2 linked regions of the Struthio camelus genome follow. The protein of the gene in region 1 binds, or shares a complex with, the protein of each later gene. Links are inferred from orthologs where the notes say so. Each region holds a gene or a part of one and is shown on either strand. Other genes may lie near its edges.

Region 1 (9,808 bases):
CCTCTGTCCCCGTGTCTGTCCATCCCTCCCTCCATCCCTGTGTCCATCCATCCCTCCATCCCCGTGTCCATCCATCCCTCTGTCCCCGTGTCCATCCATCCATTCATGTGTCCGTCCATCCATCCCTCCATCCCCGTGTCCATCCATCCCTCTGTCCCCGTGTCCATCCATCCATTCATGTGTCCGTCCATCCATCCCTCCATCCCCGTGCCCATTCATCCCTCCCTCCGTCTCTGTGTCCATCCATCCATCCCTCCATCCCTGTGTCCGTCTGTCCATCCCTCCGTTGCCACGTCTGTCCATCCGTCCCTGTGTCCATCCCTCCATCTGCATATCCATCCATCCCTCTGTCCCCATGTCTGTCCATCCGTCCATGTGTCCATCCATCCGTCCCTCCATCTCCGTGTCCATCCATCCCTTCATCCCCGTGTCCATCCATCCCTCTGTCCCCATGTCCGTCCATCCGTCCCTCCATCCCCGTGTCCATCCATCCCTCTGTCCCCGTGTCTGTCCATCCATCCCCGTGTCCGTCCATCCATCCCTCCATCCCTGTGTCCATCCATCCCTCCATCCCCGTGTCCGTCCATCCATCCATGTGTCCGTCCATCCGTCCATGTGTCCGTCCATCCATCCCTCCATCCCCCGTCCGTCCATCCCTCTGTCCCCATGTCCATCCATCCGTCCATGTGTCCGTCCATCCGTCCCTCCATCCCCGTGTCCGTCCTTCCATCCATGTGTCCGTCCATCCGTCCCTCCGTCCCCACATCTGTCCCTCCTCCCCTCCGTCTCCGGGTCTCTCCGTCCGTCCATCCATCCGTGTCTGTGTCCTTGCCCACCCCATGGTGCATCCATCCATCCATCCATCCGTCCATCCATCCGTGTCTGTGTCCTTGCCCACCCCATGGTGCATCCATCCATCCATCCATCCATCCATCCATCCATCCATCCGGGGCAGGAAAACCCTCCCCTGATCCCCCTCTGTGGGGCCAGTGCATTTCGGGGTGGGACGGCGCCAAATCCCGGCCCCTCTCGCCCTGCAGGTTCCCCGGCCGCCACCGCCGCTCCTTCCTCCTCCTCCTCCTCCTCGGAGCCGCCGCCGATGGACGCGGAGCCGCCGCCGCCGCCGCTGGACATCCCGCTGCTGCTGGAGGAGCTGCGGGTGCTGCAGCAGCGGCAGCTCCACCAGCTGCAGCTCACGGAGGAGATCTGCCGCCAAGTCCTGCTGTTGGGCGCCCCGGCCCCACCTCGGGCCACCCCGACCCTCTTCGCCGCCGCCAAAACCCAACCGCCGCGGGCCCCGGCGTCCGGCCCCCCACCTAAACCCACCTTCTTCCACCTCTACCGCCCGTGGGGGGCCAAAGCCGAAGCGGCCGCCTTCCCGGCGCCGCCGCCGCCGCCGCCGGCCTTCCCGGGTTTGTTGCGTCCCAAGAACGAGGCGGAGGAGAAGCCGGGCGGGCGGCACCGGTGCCGCTTCTGCGCCAAGGCCTTCGGCAGCGACAGCGCCCTGCAGATCCACCTGCGCTCCCACACCGGCGAGCGGCCCTACAAGTGCAACGTCTGCGGCAACCGCTTCACCACCCGCGGCAACCTCAAGGTGCACTTCCACCGCCACCGCGACCGCTACCCCCACGTCCAGATGAACCCCCACCCCGTGCCCGAGCATCTCGACTACCTCCTGGCCGGACCTCGCTGCCCGCCGCCGGAGAAGAGCGAAGCCGGCGAGAAGCCGCCGCCGGTGCCACCACCGGTGCCGCCACCGGTGCCGCCGCCACCACCGGTGGTGGCCACCGAGGGCCTCCCGCTGCTGCCCCAACCCTTGCCGGGCTTCAACAAGCTGGTGCTGCTGAAGGCGGCCGAGGAGAAGGCCAAGGGGGACGAAAACACGCCGCCGGGCAAGCTGCCCGCCTGGGCCGTCTTGGCCAACCACTTCAAGGGCGGCCACCACCACCACCACCACCACCACCACCACCACCACCACGCCGCCGCCTTCCCCTTCCTCCTGGAGCCGCCGGCCCCCTCCGAGACCTCCAAGCTGCAGCAGCTGGTGGAGAAGATCGACCCAACAGAGACGCCGGGGACGGCGGCAGCGGCCGCCCCGCCGCCGCCACCGCCGCCACCGCCGCCGCCGCCGCCGCCGTCCTCTTCCAACCAGTGCCCCGTGTGCCGCCGGGTGCTGAGCTGCCCCCGGGCGCTGCGGCTGCACGCAGGGCAGCACGCCAGCGGCGCCAGCGCCGAGCGCCCTTTCCGCTGCCAGGCCTGCGGCCGGGCTTTCTCCACCCGCGGCAACTTGCGGGCTCATTCGGCCGCCCACCGAGCCAGCCCCACCGCCGCCGCCGCCGCTCGGCCCCGAACCTCCTGCCCCATCTGCCAGAAGAAGTTGGCCGACGGCCCGGGCCTCCAGCACCACGTCCGCCTGCACCTGGGCGGGCAGGTGGCCAACGGTGGCCCGCCGCCCGCCCGCCGGCCCCACGAGTCCTCCGAGGACGAGGAGGAGGAGGAGGACGACGACGACGACGACGAAGACGAGGAGGAGGACGCCTCTGAGGAGGACGCCTCCGAGGAGGATGACTCCGAGAAGGCCCCAGCCGAGGAGGAGGAGGACGAGGAGGACGAGGAGGAGGAGGTGGTGGTGGAAGAGGAGGAGGATGAGGAGGAGGATGAGGAAGGCGGCGCTCCTCGCCGCCCGGCCGGCAGCCCTGCGCCGCCGGCCTCGGAGGGAGCCGGCGAGCCCCAGGTGGAGGAAGGTGGAGCGCGCCGAGGGGACGACGCGCAGCCGGAGGAGCCGCGGGCCAGCCCGGCCGAGGACGGCGCTCCTGACGGGGCCGCGCCGAAGAAGCAGGGGCAGGTAAGGTCCCTAGGGACGCTCCCAGTCCCTCCGTAGGGATGCTGGTGCTCCCTAGGGACGTTCCCAGGCCCTAAGGACACTCCTGGTCCCTCTGTAGGGATGCTGGTGCTCCCTAGGGACACTTCTGGTCCATAGGAACGTTCCTGGTCCCTTCATAGGGATGCTGGTGGTCCCTAAGGACGTTCCTGGTCCATAGGGACGCTCATGGTCCCTCCCTAGGGATGCTGGTGGTCCATAGGGACATTCCCCATCCATAGGGACGCTCATGGTCCCTCCCTAGGGATGCTGGTGGTCCATAGGGACCTTCCCGGTCCATAGGGATGTTCCCAGTCCATGGGGACGTTCCCGGTCCCTGGGGACACTCATCCCTAGGGATGCTGGTGGTCCATGGGGACCTTCCCAGTCCATAGGGATGTTCCCAGTCCATGGGGATGTTCCCGGTCCCTGGGGACGCTCATCCCTAGGGATGCTGGTGGTCCATGGGGACCTTCCCGGTCCATAGGGATGTTCCCAGTCCATGGGGACGTTCCCGGTCCCTGGGGACACTCATCCCTAGGGATGCTGGTGGTCCATGGGGACCTTCCTGGTCCATAGGGATGGTCCCAGACCATGGGGACTTTCCTAGTCCCTAAGGATGTTCCCGGTCCATAGGAATGCCCATGGTCCCTCTCTAGGGATGCTGGTGGTCCATGGGGACCTTCCCGGTCCATGGGAACACTCATGGTCCCTCTCTAGGGATGCTCCTGGTCCATAGAGACATTCCTGGTCCATGGGGACGCTCATGGTCCCTCTCTAGGGACGCTGGTGGTCCATGGGGACGTTCCTAGTCCATGGGGACACTCATGGTCCCTCTCTAGGGACGTTCCTGGTCCATAGAGACGTTCCTGGTCCATGGGGACGCTCATGGTCCCTCTCTAGGGACGCTGGTGGTCCATGGGGATGTTCTCGGTCCATGGGAACACTCATGGTCCCTCTCTAGGGACGCTGGTGGTCCATGGGGACGTTCCTGGTCCATGGGGACGCTCGTGGTCCCTCTCTAGGGACGTTCCTGGTCCATGGGGACATTCCCGGTCCATGGGGACGCTCATGGTCCCTCTCTAGGGACACTGGTGGTCCATGGGGACGTTCTCGGTCCACGGGGACGTTCCCAGTCCGACGGGGACGTTCGGGACGCCGCTTCTTCCCCCCAACCACCTCCTCCCTCGCCTCCTTGCTCTTCCCCCCCCAACCCCCACCGCCCCCCCAACAGGTGCCGCCATGCTGGAGCGGCGGCCCGGCGGCCCGCGCCCCCCGCCCCGCGCCGGGCCCCCAACCGCCGCCGACGCCGCCGAGCCGTGGGGCCGGCAAACCGCCGGAGCTGCCCCCACCGCCACCACCGCCGCCGCCGCCGCCGCCGCCGGCCCTCTCCTTCTGGAGCCAGTACGGCGCCTTCGCGGCCGCCGGCCGCCCCCGACCCGGCCCCCCGGCCCCCGCCGACCCCCCGGCGGCTTCGGGGCAAGGCCCGGCCGAGAAGTAGCGCCTCGACGGGTCCCTTTTTATCTTTTAATCCTAGTTTCGCCTCGACTGTAGCGCACAGGGCGCCCCCTTCGCCTCCCCTCGCCGCCATCTTGACCCCCCTCCTCCGTCTTCCTCCTTTCCCCCAACCCCAGCGTAGCCTCCTCCATTAAAGCCCTTCACGGTGACTCGTCTCCGCTTCTTGTTTTGGGAGGGAGGAGGCGGCGTCGTATTTTGGGGAGGAAAATGGGTTATTTTGGGGGGTGGGGGGGGTTCTCCCGCCTCTCCCCCCCCCCAACAACGCCCTCTGCCAGGGCGTAAGATGGCGGCCCCGCCCGCAACAAAGATGGCCGCGCGCCGTTGCCAGGGCGCCGCCCGCCGCTAAGATGGCCGCGCGCGCCCGCGGCCAAGATGGCGCGCGCGGCTTCGCCGTGAGGGCGGCGCCGCCCGTTGCTAGGACACCGTCCCCCCTCCTCCCTCCTCCCGCGCGGCGTTCTGCTGGCCGCCGTGCCCGCAGCCAAGATGGCGCGCGCGGCTTCGCCGTGAGGGCGGCGCCGCCCGTTGCTAGGACACCGTCCCCCCCCCTCCCTCCTCCCGCGCGGCGTTCTGCTGGCCGCCGTGCCCGCAGCCAAGATGGCGCGCGCGGCTTCAGGGCGCGGCCTAGCGGGCGCCGCTCCGCCCCGCTTCCGGTTCGGCGGCGGCGGCGGCGGGGCCGGGAGCGGGGCCGGGGCCGGGGCCGGGAGCGGAGCCGCAGCCGCAGCCGCCAGCGCCATGTCGGACACGTGGAGCTCGATCCAGGCGCACAAGAAGCAGCTGGACTCGCTGCGGGAGCGGCTCCAGCGGCGGCGGAAGCAGGACCCGCTCGGTGCGGGGCGGGGGGGGGCGCCGGGAGGGGGTCAGAGGGCGTCGGGAGGGGTCAGGGGGCGTCGGGAGGGGTCAAGGGGCATCGCGAGGGGGTCAAGGGGCATCGGGAGGGGTCAAGGGGTGCCAGGAGGGGTCAGGGGGCGTCGGGAGGGGATCAGAGGGCACCAGGAGGGGGTCCAGGGGCACCAGGAGGGGTCAAGGGGTGTTGGGAAGGGTCAAGGGGTGTTGGGAAGGGTCAAGGGGCGTCAGGAGGGGGTCAGAGGGCACCAGGAGGGGGTCAGGGGGCGTCGGGAGGGGTCAAGGGGCGTCGGGAGGGGTCAGAGGGCGTCGGGAGGGGTCAGGGTGCATCGGGAGGGGTCAGGGTGCATCGGGAGGGGGTCAAGGGGCATCGGGAGGGGTCAGAGGGCGTCGGGAGGGGGTCAGGGGGCGTCGGGAGGGGTCAGGGGGCGTCGGGAGGGGTCAGGGGGTGTCGGGAGGGGGTCCAGGGGCACCAGGAGGGGTCGGGGGCGTCGGGAGGGGTCAGAGGGCGTCGGGAGGGGGTCCAGGGGCACCAGGAGGGGGTCCAGGGGCACCAGGAGGGGTCAAGGAGTGTTGGGAAGGGTCAAGGGGCATCAGGAGGGGGTCAGAGGGTGCCGGGAGGGGGTCAGAGGGCACCAGGAGGGGGTCAGGGGGCATCAGGAGGGGTCAAGGGGCGTCGGGAGGGGGTCAGAGGGTGCCGGGAGGGGGTCAGAGGGTACCAGGAGGGGGTCAGGGGGCGTCGGGAGGGGATCAGAGGGCACCAGGAGGGGGTCCAGGGGCACCAGGAGGGGGTCAGGGGGCATCAGGAGGGGTCAAGGGGTGTTGGGAAGGGTCAAGGGGCGTCAGGAGGGGGTCAGAGGGCACCAGGAGGGGGTCAGGGGGCGTCGGGAGGGGTCAAGGGGCGTCGGGAGGGGTCAGAGGGCGTCGGGAGGGGTCAGGGTGCATCGGGAGGGGTCAGGGTGCATCGGGAGGGGGTCAAGGGGCATCGGGAGGGGTCAAGGGGCGTCGGGAGGGGGTCAGGGGGCGTCGGGAGGGGTCAGGGGGCGTCGGGAGGGGGTCCAGGGACACCAGGAGGGGTCGGGGGCGTCGGGAGGGGTCAGAGGGCGTCGGGAGGGGGTCCAGGGGCACCAGGAGGGGGTCCAGGGGCACCAGGAGGGGTCAAGGAGTGTTGGGAAGGGTCAAGGGGCATCAGGAGGGGGTCAGAGGGTGCCGGGAGGGGGTCAGAGGGCACCAGGAGGGGGTCAGGGGGCGTCGGGAGGGGGTCAGGGGGCGTCGGGAGGGGGTCCAGGGGCACCAGGAGGGGTCAGGGGGCGTCGGGAGGGGTCAGGGGGCGTCAGGAGGGGGTCCAGGGGCACCAGGAGGGGGTCCAGGGGCACCAGGAGGGGTCAAGGAGTGTTGGGAAGGGTCAAGGGGCATCAGGAGGGGGTCAGAGGGTGCTGGGAGGGGGTCAGAGGGCACCAGGAGGGGGTCAGGGGGCATCAGGAGGGGTCAGGGGGCGTCGGGAGGGGGTCAGGGGGCATCAGGAGGGGTCAGGGGGCGTCGGGAGGGGGTCAGGGGGCGTCGGGAGGGGGTCAGGGGGCGTCGGGAGGGGTCCAGGGGCGTCGGGAGGGGTCAGAGGGCGTCGGGAGGGGGTCAGGGGGCGTCGGGAGGGGTCAAGGGGCATCAGGAGGGGGTCAGAGGGCATCAGGAGGGGGTCAGAGGGCATCGGGAGGGGGTCAAGGGGCACCAGGAGGAGGTCAGGGGGTGTCGGGAGGGGTCAGAGGGTGCCAGGAGGGGGTCAGAGGGCATCGGGAGGGGTCAGAGGGCATCGGGAGGGGGTCAGAGGGCATCGGGAGGGGGTCAGAGGGCATCGGGAGGTGGTCAAGGGGCATCGGGAGGGGTCAGGGGCACCAGGAGGAGGTCAGGGGGTGTCGGGAGGGGTCAGAGGGCATCGGGAGGGGGTCCAGGGGCACCAGGAGGAGGTCAGGGGGTGTCGGGAGGGGTCAGAGGGCATCGGGAGGGGGTCAAGGGGCGTCAGGAGGGGGTCAAGGGACGTCAGGAGGGGTCAGAGGGTGCCAGGGCGGTGGAGGGGGGGGTGGGAGGAGGAGGAAGGAGCCTCGTCCCTCCGATCCCGACCCCCCTCGGCCCCCAGACCCCCGTCACCCGGAGCTGGCGCTGGCCCCTCCGTCCCGCAGCGCCAGCCCGGCCCCCGTCGCCCCCGCGGCGGCGGCGGCCGGAGGTGTCGGAGGAGCGGCCGGCGGAGGAGGAGGAGGAGCAGGAGCGGCGGCCGGCGGCGGCGGAGCGGCCGAGCTGACCACCGACCCGGCGCTGGAGCGGCGGCTGCTGCGGCACCTGGCCGACCTGGCGCTGCCGCTGCCCACCGACGCGCTGGCCATCTGCCGCGCCATCGCCACGGTACGGCCGCCTCCTCCTCCTCCGGCCCCCTTGCCGGATTTCCCGCCGCCGCCGCCGCTCTCAACGCCCGCTCTGTCTCGCCCCGCAGCCCGACGCGCCGGCCGCGCAGCGCAGCGTGGAGAGCCTGCTGCAGAAATTCGCCGCCCAGGAGCTCATCGAGGTGCGCCGCGGGCTGCTGCACGAGGAAGCCGCTCAACCCACCCTCGTCACCTACGCCGACCACGCCAAGCTCTCGGCCATGACCGGCGCCGTGGCCGAACGCAAGCGGCGGCCCCAAGCCGACGCCGCCGACGGCTCCGCCGCCCCCGCCGCCCCCGCCGCCGAAACCGGCAAGGAACCGGCTAAGAAGTGGCGCAAGCAGGCCTCCGACGTCGACCGGGAGATCGAGAGCTTGCTCAGCCAGCAGTCCACCAAGGAGCAGCAGAGCAAGAAGGTAGCGGCGCCCCCCCAAATCGCACCCGGCGCTCGCTTTTCCCCCCCAAGAGGCACCTGGTGTTCACCTTTGTGCCCCGAAAGGCTCCTGGCTTTCGCTTTTTCCCCCTAAAAGGCGCCCGGTGCTCACTTTTCGCCCCGAAAAAGCACCCAGCGCTCGCTTTCCCCCCCCCAAAAGGTGCCTGGCTTTCGCCTTCATGCTGCAAAAGGAACCTGGTGCTCGCTTTTCCCCCCAAAAGGCACCCAGCTTTTACCTTTGTGCCCCGAAAGGCTCCTGGCTTTCACTTTTTCCCCCTGAAAGGCACCTGGCTTTCGCCTTCGTGCCTCAAAAGGCGCCCGATGTTCGCTTTTTCCCCCCAAAAGGTGCCCGGCTTTCGCCTTCGTGCCCGAAAAGGCGCCTGGCGCTCCTTTTTCCCCCACAAAAAGGCTCCTGGCTTTCACTTTTTCCCCCTAAAAGGCACCTGGCATTTGTCTTTGTGCCCCGAAAGGCACCTGGTGCTCGCTTTTTCCCCCCAAAAGGCGCCCGGCGTTCACCTTCGTGCCCGAAAAGGCGCCCAGCGCTCGCTTTTTCCCCCCCGAAAGGCACCCAATGTTCGCTTTTTTCCCCCCGAAAGGCGCCCGGCGTTCGCCTTCGTGCCCCGAAAGGCGCCCGGCGCCCGCCCTCGCCCCCGCCGAAGGGTTTCGGCCCGGGCGTTTGCCCCGCTCTCCCCAGGTGAGCCAGGAGATCCTGGAGCTGCTCAACACCACCACGGCCAAGGAGCAGTCCATCGTGGAGAAGTTTCGCTCGCGGGGCCGGGCCCAGGTGCAGGAGTTCTGCGACTACGGCACCAAGGAGGAGTGCATGAAGGCCACCGACGCCGAGCGGCCCTGCCGCAAGCTCCATTTCCGGTGCGTCCTTCCTTCCTTCCTTTTTCCTCCTTTCCTTCCCCGTTTCCAGCCTCGTCCCGCCTCCGCGCCTTTATTTTTTTGGGGGTTGCTTCCCTCCTCGCCGCCGCCAGGCGCATCATCAACAAGCACACGGACGAGTCGCTGGGCGACTGCTCCTTCCTCAACACCTGCTTCCACATGGACACCTGCAAGTACGTCCACTACGAGATCGACGCCTGCTGCGACGCCGGAGCGCCCGGCGGCCGCGAGCGCAACCCCGGCCAGGAGCTGGCTTTGCCCCAGGCCGTCGGCGGCGACGCCAGCGTCGACCGCCTCTTCCCGCCGCAGGTAGGGCTTCCCGGCCGGGGCGGGAAGCGAAGGCGCTCGAACCGCTCCGTGTTTGTTTCGTTTTCTTTCCTTTTCCAGTGGATCTGCTGCGACATCCGCTACCTGGACGTCAGCATCCTGGGCAAATTCGCCGTGGTCATGGCCGACCCGCCTTGGGACATCCACATGGAGCTGCCTTACGGCACGCTGACCGACGACGAGATGCGGCGCCTCAACATCCCCGTGCTGCAGGACGAAGGCTTCCTCTTCCTCTGGGTCACCGGACGGTGAGCGAGGCATTAAAACCAAAAACCCCCGCTTCGTTCCGAAAACCTCCTTTCCGACCCCGGCACCTCTCGCAATCTCTTTTTCTCCCCCCGCCACCCTCTTTTTTTTTTACTCCCCCGGCAGAGCCATGGAGCTGGGACGCGAATGCCTCAACCTCTGGGGGTGAGTTTCGCCCCTCTTCCCCCGTCCCTCCTCTTCCTCGCCGCCGGCGGCCTCGGCACCCGCCGCCCCCTCGCCAGGTACGAGCGGGTGGACGAGATCATCTGGGTGAAGACGAAC
Region 2 (10,504 bases), on another chromosome or scaffold:
TTTAGTGTTCACTAATTTACTTCTTTTGTTTAAAATTATTTTCTAAATTTAGCCAGTACAAATATCGCTGTTCTTGCCCAGAGTGGGAGACCCTTGTTTTTTACCATCAATCTGACACTTGGCTCGTGAACATTTACAAAAAATACTTCGGTTGGGAATATAAGTCTGATAAAAATTAAGCCGTACCTTTTACAGGCAAAAGAAATCGCAAAGAACAATCATTTAAATCCCCAAGTATTTATATAAAATCATTCTGTACTTTTCAAAAAACTCTGAATTTTACTACTTTGCTATATAATAGGAAGGTTTCTAGTCTTCGAAGTCTCATACAGAGGTAATGTTATTAATATTTGCATTGTTGGGATCCTTACCGGAAAAATGCATGTGTACCTAAATGCGATTCCTCGTGTAAGGAGATGCAGCTTCTCTTCCTCCGCACTGATACCATCTTGTATCCTTCCATGCTGTGCAGTGAGAAGAAGTTGGTGCACTCCTCTTGTCACTAAGTGAAGGCATAATGTTACTCGCTTCCTCATCAGTGTTGCCAGTTGATCTGCACCTGAACAGGAACGCTCACAGTACTAAAATAGAAAAAAATACCAGCGTGTTTCCAGGATTAAGACCCAAGTTTGAAGCAGAAATGAGCCTTCTTCATATTTTAGGGAATTGGCCCTTTGCAGTAGAGTATAGTGTTTGTGATACTTAAATTTATGTCAAATAATTTGCCCACATTTGGGGCAGAGTCTGTCACTAACAGTGAGAAGAATATCCTCCTTTTCTGAATTTCTCTTGGTTTTTGTTCTTTGCCAGCTGCATGGGACACACTTGATACTTGCAGCAGTGTACATTGAAACCAATGTCTTCAAAGGCAAGAGTCAACCTTTGTCACAGTAAGTCATATTATATAAAACACCTCGTAATACTTGATACTTCTGGGGTCCATAGTTTTCATCGGAGTGCCTTATTCACAGATTTAGGACTTGAAGATACATTCGTCCTTTAGATAACATGTTCTGTGCTTGGTCTGTGTTTGAAATTATTTTTATCCTTGACAGGCAATGGGAATTGTCCTGTTGCTGGTTTAAGCAAAAAGCAGTTTTGTGGGTTTTGACAAAGGGAAAGCAAACCCACCCTTTTACTCCTTAAAAAAATTACATCAGCTACAGAAATAAATAAGCTTGACAGCTGGCATCATTTCACGAGAATCTGAGCCTTTTGTTCTTTTGGGAAAGATCTAAAGAAGCTTTTTCCCTTCTCCACATACTTCACCTAATTTGGCATCATATCAGGATGTATATGGCATTCTGGCTTGCGGAGCACCTTTAGTACCTTAAGGCCTAGAAGGGTCTCAGGTCTAGAAAGACCATTCATTCTTTTTCCTGGCTTTTTCACTAATGGGCTGACATCCAGCTGTCTACAGATAGGATCGGTACATAAGATACACCCCAAAGAACAAACTGTTTTCGTAGGGGGAGGAGATTTCCATTTTCTAAAATTCCTAAAGCCCAAATGCTGACCTGATTGGATGACTCCCTGGAAGTAAAGTTCCTGATAGGCAAAAATGTCCTTGGCTGTCTTAAGAGCAGTCTGTGTCTTCCTTGAATCTATTTTTGTCAGGAAAACTCATAATTTAAGAAGTGTTTAATAAAAATTGCTGACTTCCCCTTAGATAGAAAATGTTTGCATACTAAAACTGTTATGGCTTTATTGTGACTTAAGAAATAGGCATAGTAAACCCCTGTTTCTATATGCATATATGCACTTCAAATGCAAGCTTACGGTGTTTATCCTGTATCTCCAAAATGAGTTTAACTCAAATCACCAGTTGACTGTAATTGAATTTTAATTGATTGTATGTAATTCAGGGTGTGTCTCCAGGAAAGCCTCTGAAATGTACACATTGCTATAGTCAGCCCTCTTAACAGGAAAAAACTTCCTGAGCGTTATATTCTACATCACAATTCACAGGTGTACAGTGTCATCACATGTGCTGCAGTCTTGGAGACAAGTGTTGTAAATCTATTTGGCTCTGTAGATAGTAGAGTTGCACATGATTATACTATTGATTTTATATGCTCTCATGAGCACCTATGTATATTTATAAACAGTTATCGGTAATTAAAAGAGGAGTCTTTATGGGAGCTGTCTGAAGAAAATCTAGCTACCTCTCGCTTTAGAAATGGAACAAAAATGTGCAATAATTCCAGTAAGATGCTTAGAAATGTCTTGTCAGATGATGTAAAGAAAGCCTGCAGCCTACTAGTTAGAAAGCTTTTTTTTTTTTTTTTTGGAGAGCGAGAGTGCATTGAACTTAAAATTGGGCTTGTTGCTGTCCAGATTTTCACGTGGTAGTTACCCGAAGGATATCTCTGTCATTTTTTTCAGTACAGCAATCCATATATTTTATTTGCCCACCGCATCTGTAGGCTACAGCAGCCTTTTCCAGTGCCCTTGGAGCTCAGTTTCTGTTCCAGTTGCAAACCACTATTTTGCCTTCCTCCATCTTACATCCGTACAAGTCAAGGACTATCTTTTCAGAAGCTGATTAGCCTTTAGTTCCTTTTATTTTAAGATCTTTTAAAATGCTAACAAATGTTCATAACAGTACTCCAAACATTTTTTTCTTCTGAACAGTTTTTTATCTGACTTTATTTCTTACTAATATCCTAGCTTTTCTGATCTGCAGACTGTAGTTGTCATCTCTTACAATTTATTTTATGTGACTTTTATGCTATTAAATATTTGTCCTTAAAGCCCTGTTTCCCATGACATAGTATTTCATCCACATCTCAACTTTGAATCATGAAAATGCAGGGGAAAAATAGCCCTTATGATCCTGTAGAAAAGCTTGGAGGCCTGAAACAAATTTGTCTTTAAGGCTCACACAGCCTAAGACAGTAGAGAGTATTAAAATTCAGTGCGTTTGTATTTCAAACAGTTGTGTGATTTCTAATCTGGCTTGAGGGTTTAGAGATATAATGCATGAATTCTGGTTACTTCACGCTAGTGGTACTGTCTTGATCTTGCTTGGGTTGGGACCATCCTGTTGTAAAGCCGTCCGAGATAAGCAATGGCAAGAAAACTGTGCTGCCTGCAAAGCTCAGCAGCTCCTCCTCTGACTCCTTACAAAGCTTCATAGCCACAACACATACCAAGTGCTTCAGTTAAAACAGGGCTTCAGCTCTGCCAACTGTGTGTCAGCTGCTGGCTACCCAAAGAACTTGGGACATCCAGTAAGCACAGGAGAGGGCAGTATTAGTCCAAGTGAAGGCATGAAGAGGACAAACTATTAACAGAAAAAATAAGCCAAAATGTAATAAAGAGCATTTTTTCCGAGTTTAAAACTATTCTGTCACTGACATCTTTTTTTTTTTTTTTTTTTTTTTTTTTACATTTATGGAGTGTTTTAATGTTTTGTTCCAACTGGCTGTAACATGAAACAAGAAATCAAGAACAGAGCAGGTAAGAACCATTACAAGCCACAAGCCTTCCAGCAGGAAAATAATTAGGTTAGTGAACTACATGTTGTCTTTTGAAGAACCTAAAACCAGATGAGACAATATGAACAGATCTGAAACAAAACCAAAAACTCTATTGTTATTAGTATCTGCTGAGCAGGCCCTAGACTTGAAAACAGAGCTAGAAAAAGTGTGGAAAGTTATGGAGGAATACAGGGGTGTTACTCTAATGCCAAATGGCATTCTTGTCAATACAGTTTTCTTCTTTCTTTAATCCAATTTTATATCAAAGTCAAATGTAGAAGAGAGTCCGCAACAATAAAATACAATTCCTATGATCTCTTCTTAAACAATAGGAGATACAAATACAATATGCTTTGTGGAAGTACAGTGGTTATTTTCATCTTAAATGCATTTATTTCTCGTGTTTAATTTATGGAAAGCTGTATTGTCCAGGTGTTCATAATCTGGTTCATATTTCAACTTAGCAGTATATATATTTGTTGTGCTATTTTCTGAATTCTGTTTTTTCACTGGTTTTCGGACAGATATGCTTATTTGCCCTCTCATTTGTGGACAAGCAATGCTATTAAGAGCTGTGTTAGTACCTATTATTTGAAAAGGAAATTTATTCCGGTTATTATATTGTCACATAACCCAATGCAGGTGCTTATTAAGGTGTTTATTCTAGGAGCATTAAAATATACCAACTGAGACAGTTCTCATTGTGTTAGGTGCCGTGCAAGCAGAATAAGAGACTATTTCAGTGAAATGTGCTCTATCAGGGTACTAGTTAACAATTTGCTGTTTGTATTTTCTCACATAAAAATTTTAAGTATAGCTGATAATACACATGGTAATTCTAAGGGCTAGAAGGAAGGCCAGAATATAAAGCTCTACAGTCTGTATCCACTTATCTCTTGGTGTTTCTGGCTCTGTGCCGTTTGCTCAGCTAGTACGTTTCCCATAAATGTAATCTACACTTGTAAAACTAAATTTAAAATAACTAAGTGCTGACAAGGGAAAAGAATGCAGGATTATTTTCTACATGCTTATGACCTGGAAGAACAACAGGTACCAATGGTAAGTGTAAGGTCCGGTATCTCTTGACCCATCAGAGTTAGAACTTTACATATACTGTTAAAGATTAAAGACTGAAGAGAGATCCATTTTCCCAACATAACAAAAAAGTAGCTAAACTCTAGCCTTGGCAAATGTTGGGAGATCTTGTGTTCAATTTGTGATACCTAGAAAACATTAGGTAATTTATATACAGAATAGAAATGGCCTTAAGTACATCTCTGTATCTCTTTTGTATGTAAAAAAGTTTCCGTTTCTTGTCCTACTTGGCTTACGTGCATTTTAGTGTTGTAATGTTTACATTTGTGCATGAGCAAATAAAATCAATTTTCTACATTAATGTTCGCAGTAAGGACTATTCTGGTATATTGACACCTCTCCCATGCTGCTGTCTCTTGAGATGGCTTTATCTGTTAATTAGTGTCTTTAGTGCTTAAAAGAAGTACCTGCAAGGTGTCTGTGTACAAAAAAACAGTGAAAGGAGCAGTGAACCTCAAACTGTAATCACAGTGCGTATTTTTCACGTAAAAAAATAAGACTTCAGAGGAACGTACTCAAGCCCTTTTGATTTCACTCTCCTTGTGGTAATTAGTCACATCATTCTCTTTTTTTAATTTCAAGCGACAACAGTCAGGTCACTTAAAGCTTGGTCAGGGTGTTAATTTTTTTTTCAGCGAGAGCTTTTTTTTTTTTTTTAAATCTGTGCTGTGTGGATCTGCACCTCTGTACACTGGAATCTCTTGTGCAGTGAATATATTATTCTTGCTATCAGTAGCACAGTCAAGAAGACAGATTTCTGGAGTGTCTTCCACAGAAATTCAGTTGCAATCAATCACATCGTGCAACCCAGCTGACACTAATTTAGCCTACAGAAGCTTTATTACTTTGTTGGCAAGAAGGGAACACATCTAATTGTGCTAATAGCATTGCTTGAGAAATCATGGATAACAAGACAGAAATTCGATTTTAAAGTAGTTGTTCAGTGCTAGACTACAATTAAGGGCAATCAGTATGTTTCATTCTATTTTTTCCCCAAATGTTAAAGCTAAAGTTTAGCGTATTTGGAAACAGCTAGGATTTTTTTTCCCTCATTTGCTGACTGATGACGTTAATGTGCGCTTATGCCACTGAGGTGAATTTAACTGAGTGAAAATTTTCATTGCACAACGTGAAAGACAGGCAGAAAGCCGCGGAACTAATGCTGACAAGCAAGGTGCCCATCTTGCAGACTAACCACTGGCTGTGCCTGGCTGTGCGCAATCCTCGTTTTCAAAAGCCGCTGTCTTTTCAGCGTGTCTTCCAAGAAGGCGCCAAGCAGCGCTCCCACGGCGCCGCCCAGAAGGAGCAGCCCCGCGGCAGCAGCTCCCTGTCGGCCCTGGCGGACGCCCTGTTTCACGCGTGAGGCCGCGGGGAGGCGCTCGGTGCCGCTGCCCTCAGCCCTCGCGCCGGCAGGCGGCCGCTTCCCCCCGCCTGGCCCGCCCCCAGGATGCCCCGCGGCTCGCTACCCGCCGCGCGCCCGCCCCTCCCTTCTGCCCGTTTAACTGACAGGCTTTAAATCAACATTCAAATAAGGAGGGAAACCGCGGCGCGGGGACGGAAGGAGCATCTCAGTGCTGCCTGCCGCTGGGGAGAGAGCGGGGGACGAGCTCCCCAAAGGAGGCGCGGCGGCGGCCGGCAGAGCCGGACCGGGCGGCTCGGCCACCCCGCGGCCCGGGCCACTGCGGCGGCTCGCGCCGCGCGGGGCTGCGCGCGCAGCGCCGCCGCCTGAACGTGGGGGGCGGCCGGTGGGCGGGGCGGCTGGGCGCTCATTTCCTCCTTGGGCGCCATTTTGTAGCGCAGAGAATCCGCAAATAAAGAGCGGGCGGGAGCGGTACGTGAGGAAGCGCGGGGTGGGGGCACGCGGTGGTGACCCCGGCTCCGGAGCAGTGGTCCCGGTAGAGCCGGTTGCGGGCGCGCGCGCGGAGGTGGCGGCAGGTGTGAGGAGGTGGCGGCGCTTCGCCCCCGATGTGACGGGTGCGGCCCAGGCAACCAGTGTGCTGGGAGAGTGAGGCCTCCGCACCGCGGGCGGGAGGTGAGTGACCGCGCGAGCGCTCCTCCCCTCGGCCGGGCTCCCCCTTTCTCTGGTACCGCCGCCCTTCTCCCCCGCAGGAGGTAGCGGGGCCCTCGGCAGGGACCGAGCACCTCGCGGTCCCGGGGCGACCAACCCCGGCGGCTCCATCTCTCACCCCAAGTGGGGGGAGGAGCGGAAGCACTTAGAGCCATTTTGTGCGAGGCCGCGAGCCCGGCCTGGCTGCTCCGCTGAGATCCTCCTCCCCTAGCCTTCGGCTCCGCCACGCCCGGGCGCCGCCGCCGCCGCCGGGGCTCCCTCTGGGCGAGGGAGACGCGTTTTTTCTTTTTTTCCTTTTTTCTTTTTTTCCCCCCCTTCAGTTGAAGCTGAACGAGGACGGCCCGACGGGGCGGGTAGTGCCTGCCCTGCCAGAAGGGGGGAGGGGAAGGGGGTGGCAGGGTCTGTCAAACGTCTGTGACGAGCCGTGGGGTCAGTGGCCTGCAGCTGCGCCTGGCCGGGGACTGGCGGGGTCTCCGCGCAGGAGGCGGGGCTGCGCGGCAGCGGCCCGCCGTTGGGTTGGGAGGGGGTGCGGCCGCAGGACTCGGCTACGCGAGGCTCCTGACCGCGGTCGCTGAGGCTAGCGTGGAAACTTTCATAGGCCGGCATCTTACTCTGAACCTTTTTGTTTCGGGACACTTGAAGGCCTCGAGGGCTTTTCCCACGGTATGCTTTTTCATATCGTTGAAATAACTAGGAGTTACTTCAACTGTTGCTAGTAAAGCAGCACTTGAGTTATGTCTGGTATTACTTGATTGCCTTGTCTCTTAGCTCGTAGTGCTTGTTTTAATCTTTAAACTTTATGTTTTCTAAATGTTGTAGTAAAAGTTGCACAGAAAACTACAGTTTCTGAAATTAAAACGCACTTTCCCTGTTTCAGCCCTTTCATAGTTCAATTACTTTAGAGATTACAGGAGAATTCTTTTAGTGTCTATGATGGCCCCTTTTTAAGGGTGAAACACAGGTTTATATTGCTTATTGCCAGGAACGGATGTAGAAGTTGTGGAGTTTAACAGGTATCACTGCTCTGAAATCCTGAAAGTGCCTACTGAGGATAGCACAGGCTAAATTATTCATTGTATTAATTGAGAAGTGTAATCATGATAATTCCAGTCAGAAAATGGCAGTTCATCCTATTCTTGCAAAATATTACTGAACTGCTTAGCACAAGGGTCATCTGTCTTTCAGAGTAGGCACGTGGTGAGATGCATCTCTTGCTGCACAGCACTCCACATTACTCTATTAGACTCAATGAATGAATGTTTGAGTTGTAATAATATTGTTAATGTCTGTTGCATAACTTATCTGGTAAGCACAGAAAGAACTGAAGCAAATCACTGTGACAGCTAAGTGATACAGTAAGCCTGATGTTCTGATGCTTCCAAAAACACTGAGCACAGTGATAGAAATACAACCTATAGCAATAATGAACTCTTAAGCTGTTTGTAAGTTACTGTGGGTGCCAAAAAAAAAGCTGTTGCGTAGGAGTCATGAGGTGAAACTTGCACATACAAAAAGAACATGATCACTTAGCTGTCATAGTAAGAAGTTCAGATGTGATAAACCTAGGTTTCCAAAATAATACCTTACTAAAAATTTTCAGGGTATTTTTTAGTGAACAATTCTAGTCCTACAAGTGAAAGCAGGTGACAGTAAAACAATAACTTATGTAATGCAGTGGACTTTTTATCTTCAGCATGTGCATTAAAGGATTTTATCAGATAGCAGGGAGATGGCTTTGTTTTGTAAGTGGGAACGTGTTGGGCCTAGAGGTTAGAAGGGTAGTCTGGTTTGGTGCTGCCATGAGAAAACTGGTTGTGGGAGTCTTATGCTAGGTCTGGAGACGGGCAATAAGGATGGAGCATCAGCTTTTAATTTCTTTCGGTTGCTGTTGCAGTGGCACTCAAGTGTTTAGTTTGCTGTATACTGCTGAAGGGTTCACAAGCCAAGTCTTTGGAAAATTCATCTTTTTTGATACCTGTGTGTTCCTACTGTTTTTCTGACACATGATAATATCTGTTAGGTATGATTTAATCTAAGTGTATTTCCATGGGACATTTGAAAGGCAGATCTCTCTGTTAAGGACTTGAATCCTGCTGAAATCTTCAAAACTCCTTCCAAATACTGAAGGAGTTAAGTGTCTGAAAATCTTTAAGAAAATTGTAATGGGGAAGTAGGCCATTAAATTTAGGGGGCTGTGAGCATTTCCCCATATGATCTTAGTCATCCAAAATATCAGTTTAACTTGAGTTGAGCATCATTGGTTTGTATCGATAGTCTCTAATACATTTCATATTGCATTTAGTAAAAGTATAAAAGTCTTAAGTGGGAAGCTGCATCCAGAAGTTAAAGTTCTCTCATGTGTGAGAGAGTTGATGGTGGGGGGCCCTAGACCTCTTAGAGTAGAGAATCACTGAAGTGCCTGTGTGTTATGAAGATTAGGAACAGGAAGCTGACATTGGTCATAGATGCCTGTATTGAGTGTTATTAGCAACTTTTCTGTTCGTTCTAATGTCCCCCTTTACTTTATGAAGGGCTTGGAAGCCATTTCACCTGTGCACTGTAGGTGTTTAGTTGTTATTGTAGTTTTATTTGGTATAGTGCTATATACTGAATGTTAATATAGGTTGAAGGAGCTGTTGTTCACTTGGTATGCATTTATCTTTTTGACAGTGCTGATGCCCTTAGGTTTTAAAGAACTTTAATTAGTTTATTGGGTGATTTTTTTTTTTTTTGTGAAAATACCAAGAACTTTCTGGTATTTTCACAAAAGCACCCAATAAACTAATTAAAGTTGCGTGGGGTTTCTTTCCCCTCCAGCAATCACTTTTAAACAACTTAAATGCATTGTATTTGTGAAGCTAACTGTTTACAAGTGAGGAACTGGCTACATCTGTTTTCTGGTGTATTTACATGGCAAAAATCTTTTAAGCTTACAAAAGCTCAATGTTATGTACAGCTCTTCTGTTGGAAGGCATATTGCAAAAGATGCATGGCTCCAGCAAAGCTTGCCTTTGTTTCTTTTATGATCTTTGCGGGCTCTTTTTTAATAATCATAGTAATAGAAAATGTTTTCTGTCCTTTTGAAGTAAGGAAGCAAGTCCTGTAATACAAGGAATTGGGACTAATTAACATAAGCGTAATAGGGTTGTGTTGTGCTATCAACAGACAAGAGGAGTTGTATTTGATGGTGTGCTCAAGCCATTTGTTTTTTCTTTTCCTAAAGATAACCTAAAGGGTTTTAAAATAACTGCTTGACACTTTGTTTATCAAAATCTTAAAAGTAAGAGGATAAGTAGTTGGAAGAGCTTGCTGTCTTGACATTCCCTAAATATTAGTGGTAATGTTTCCAAATCATTTGCTTTTATTTCAAAGAGATAAACACTGAAACCACTGAAATAGTGGTATAAATTACTTTCTTCAAGTCCTAATTATGCTCTGCCTTGTGTATATGTTGAAAAAATTCAGTAGTTGTAGACAGATATCAAATGTCAGTTTGATCTAAAAACAAATATAGACAAAGTTAGATGGTTTCACCTTAAATAAGGAAGAGTTGATTGTTGATATTCTTTCAGACACCAAAAGAGCACTTTGGGTAGTTTTTACAAAGGTGTCTGATGACTTTGTGTCTAGATTACAATTGCAAAGTTGTCGTAGAGTTGCTTTGTACTCTGCATTGTATGGTACCAACATTTCAGTAATCTATTATCACTAATAAATAAAAACTTAAGGAAGAAGTAAAGTGACTTGCTGCATGCTTTATGGACCCTAGTAATGGCATTAAATAAAACTCCTTTTTTTCCTCCCCTCCCCCTTTCAGAGTTCACAATGACGAATGAAGAACCTCTCCCGAAGAAGGTAT

What was found.
Region 2: METTL3 (region 1) and WTAP share a complex: the UniProt entries of both Homo sapiens proteins name them as parts of the WMM complex. The link is inferred for Struthio camelus from reciprocal best matches to the Homo sapiens genes METTL3 and WTAP.

The regions. Positions count from the first base shown.
Region 1 is NC_090970.1:82,570-92,377, reverse strand, and holds the start of METTL3 (N6-adenosine-methyltransferase catalytic subunit), read left to right. Parts: upstream 1-5,040; 5' UTR 5,041-5,110; coding exon 5,111-5,204; intron 5,205-7,352; coding exon 7,353-7,615; intron 7,616-7,703; coding exon 7,704-8,048; intron 8,049-8,759; coding exon 8,760-8,935; intron 8,936-9,045; coding exon 9,046-9,262; intron 9,263-9,340; coding exon 9,341-9,528; intron 9,529-9,652; coding exon 9,653-9,691; intron 9,692-9,768; coding exon 9,769-9,808. Other genes in the region: SALL2 (sal-like protein 2), read left to right, coding at 1,041-2,845, 4,095-4,361. UniProt on the Homo sapiens protein: The METTL3-METTL14 heterodimer forms a N6-methyltransferase complex that methylates adenosine residues at the N(6) position of some RNAs and regulates various processes such as the circadian clock, differentiation of embryonic and hematopoietic stem cells, cortical neurogenesis, response to DNA damage, differentiation of T-cells and primary miRNA processing.
Region 2 is NC_090944.1:85,122,425-85,132,928, reverse strand, and holds the start of WTAP (pre-mRNA-splicing regulator WTAP), read left to right. Parts: upstream 1-6,308; 5' UTR 6,309-6,609; intron 6,610-7,133; exon of another isoform or gene 7,134-7,308; intron 7,309-10,462; 5' UTR 10,463-10,470; coding exon 10,471-10,500; intron 10,501-10,504. UniProt on the Homo sapiens protein: Associated component of the WMM complex, a complex that mediates N6-methyladenosine (m6A) methylation of RNAs, a modification that plays a role in the efficiency of mRNA splicing and RNA processing.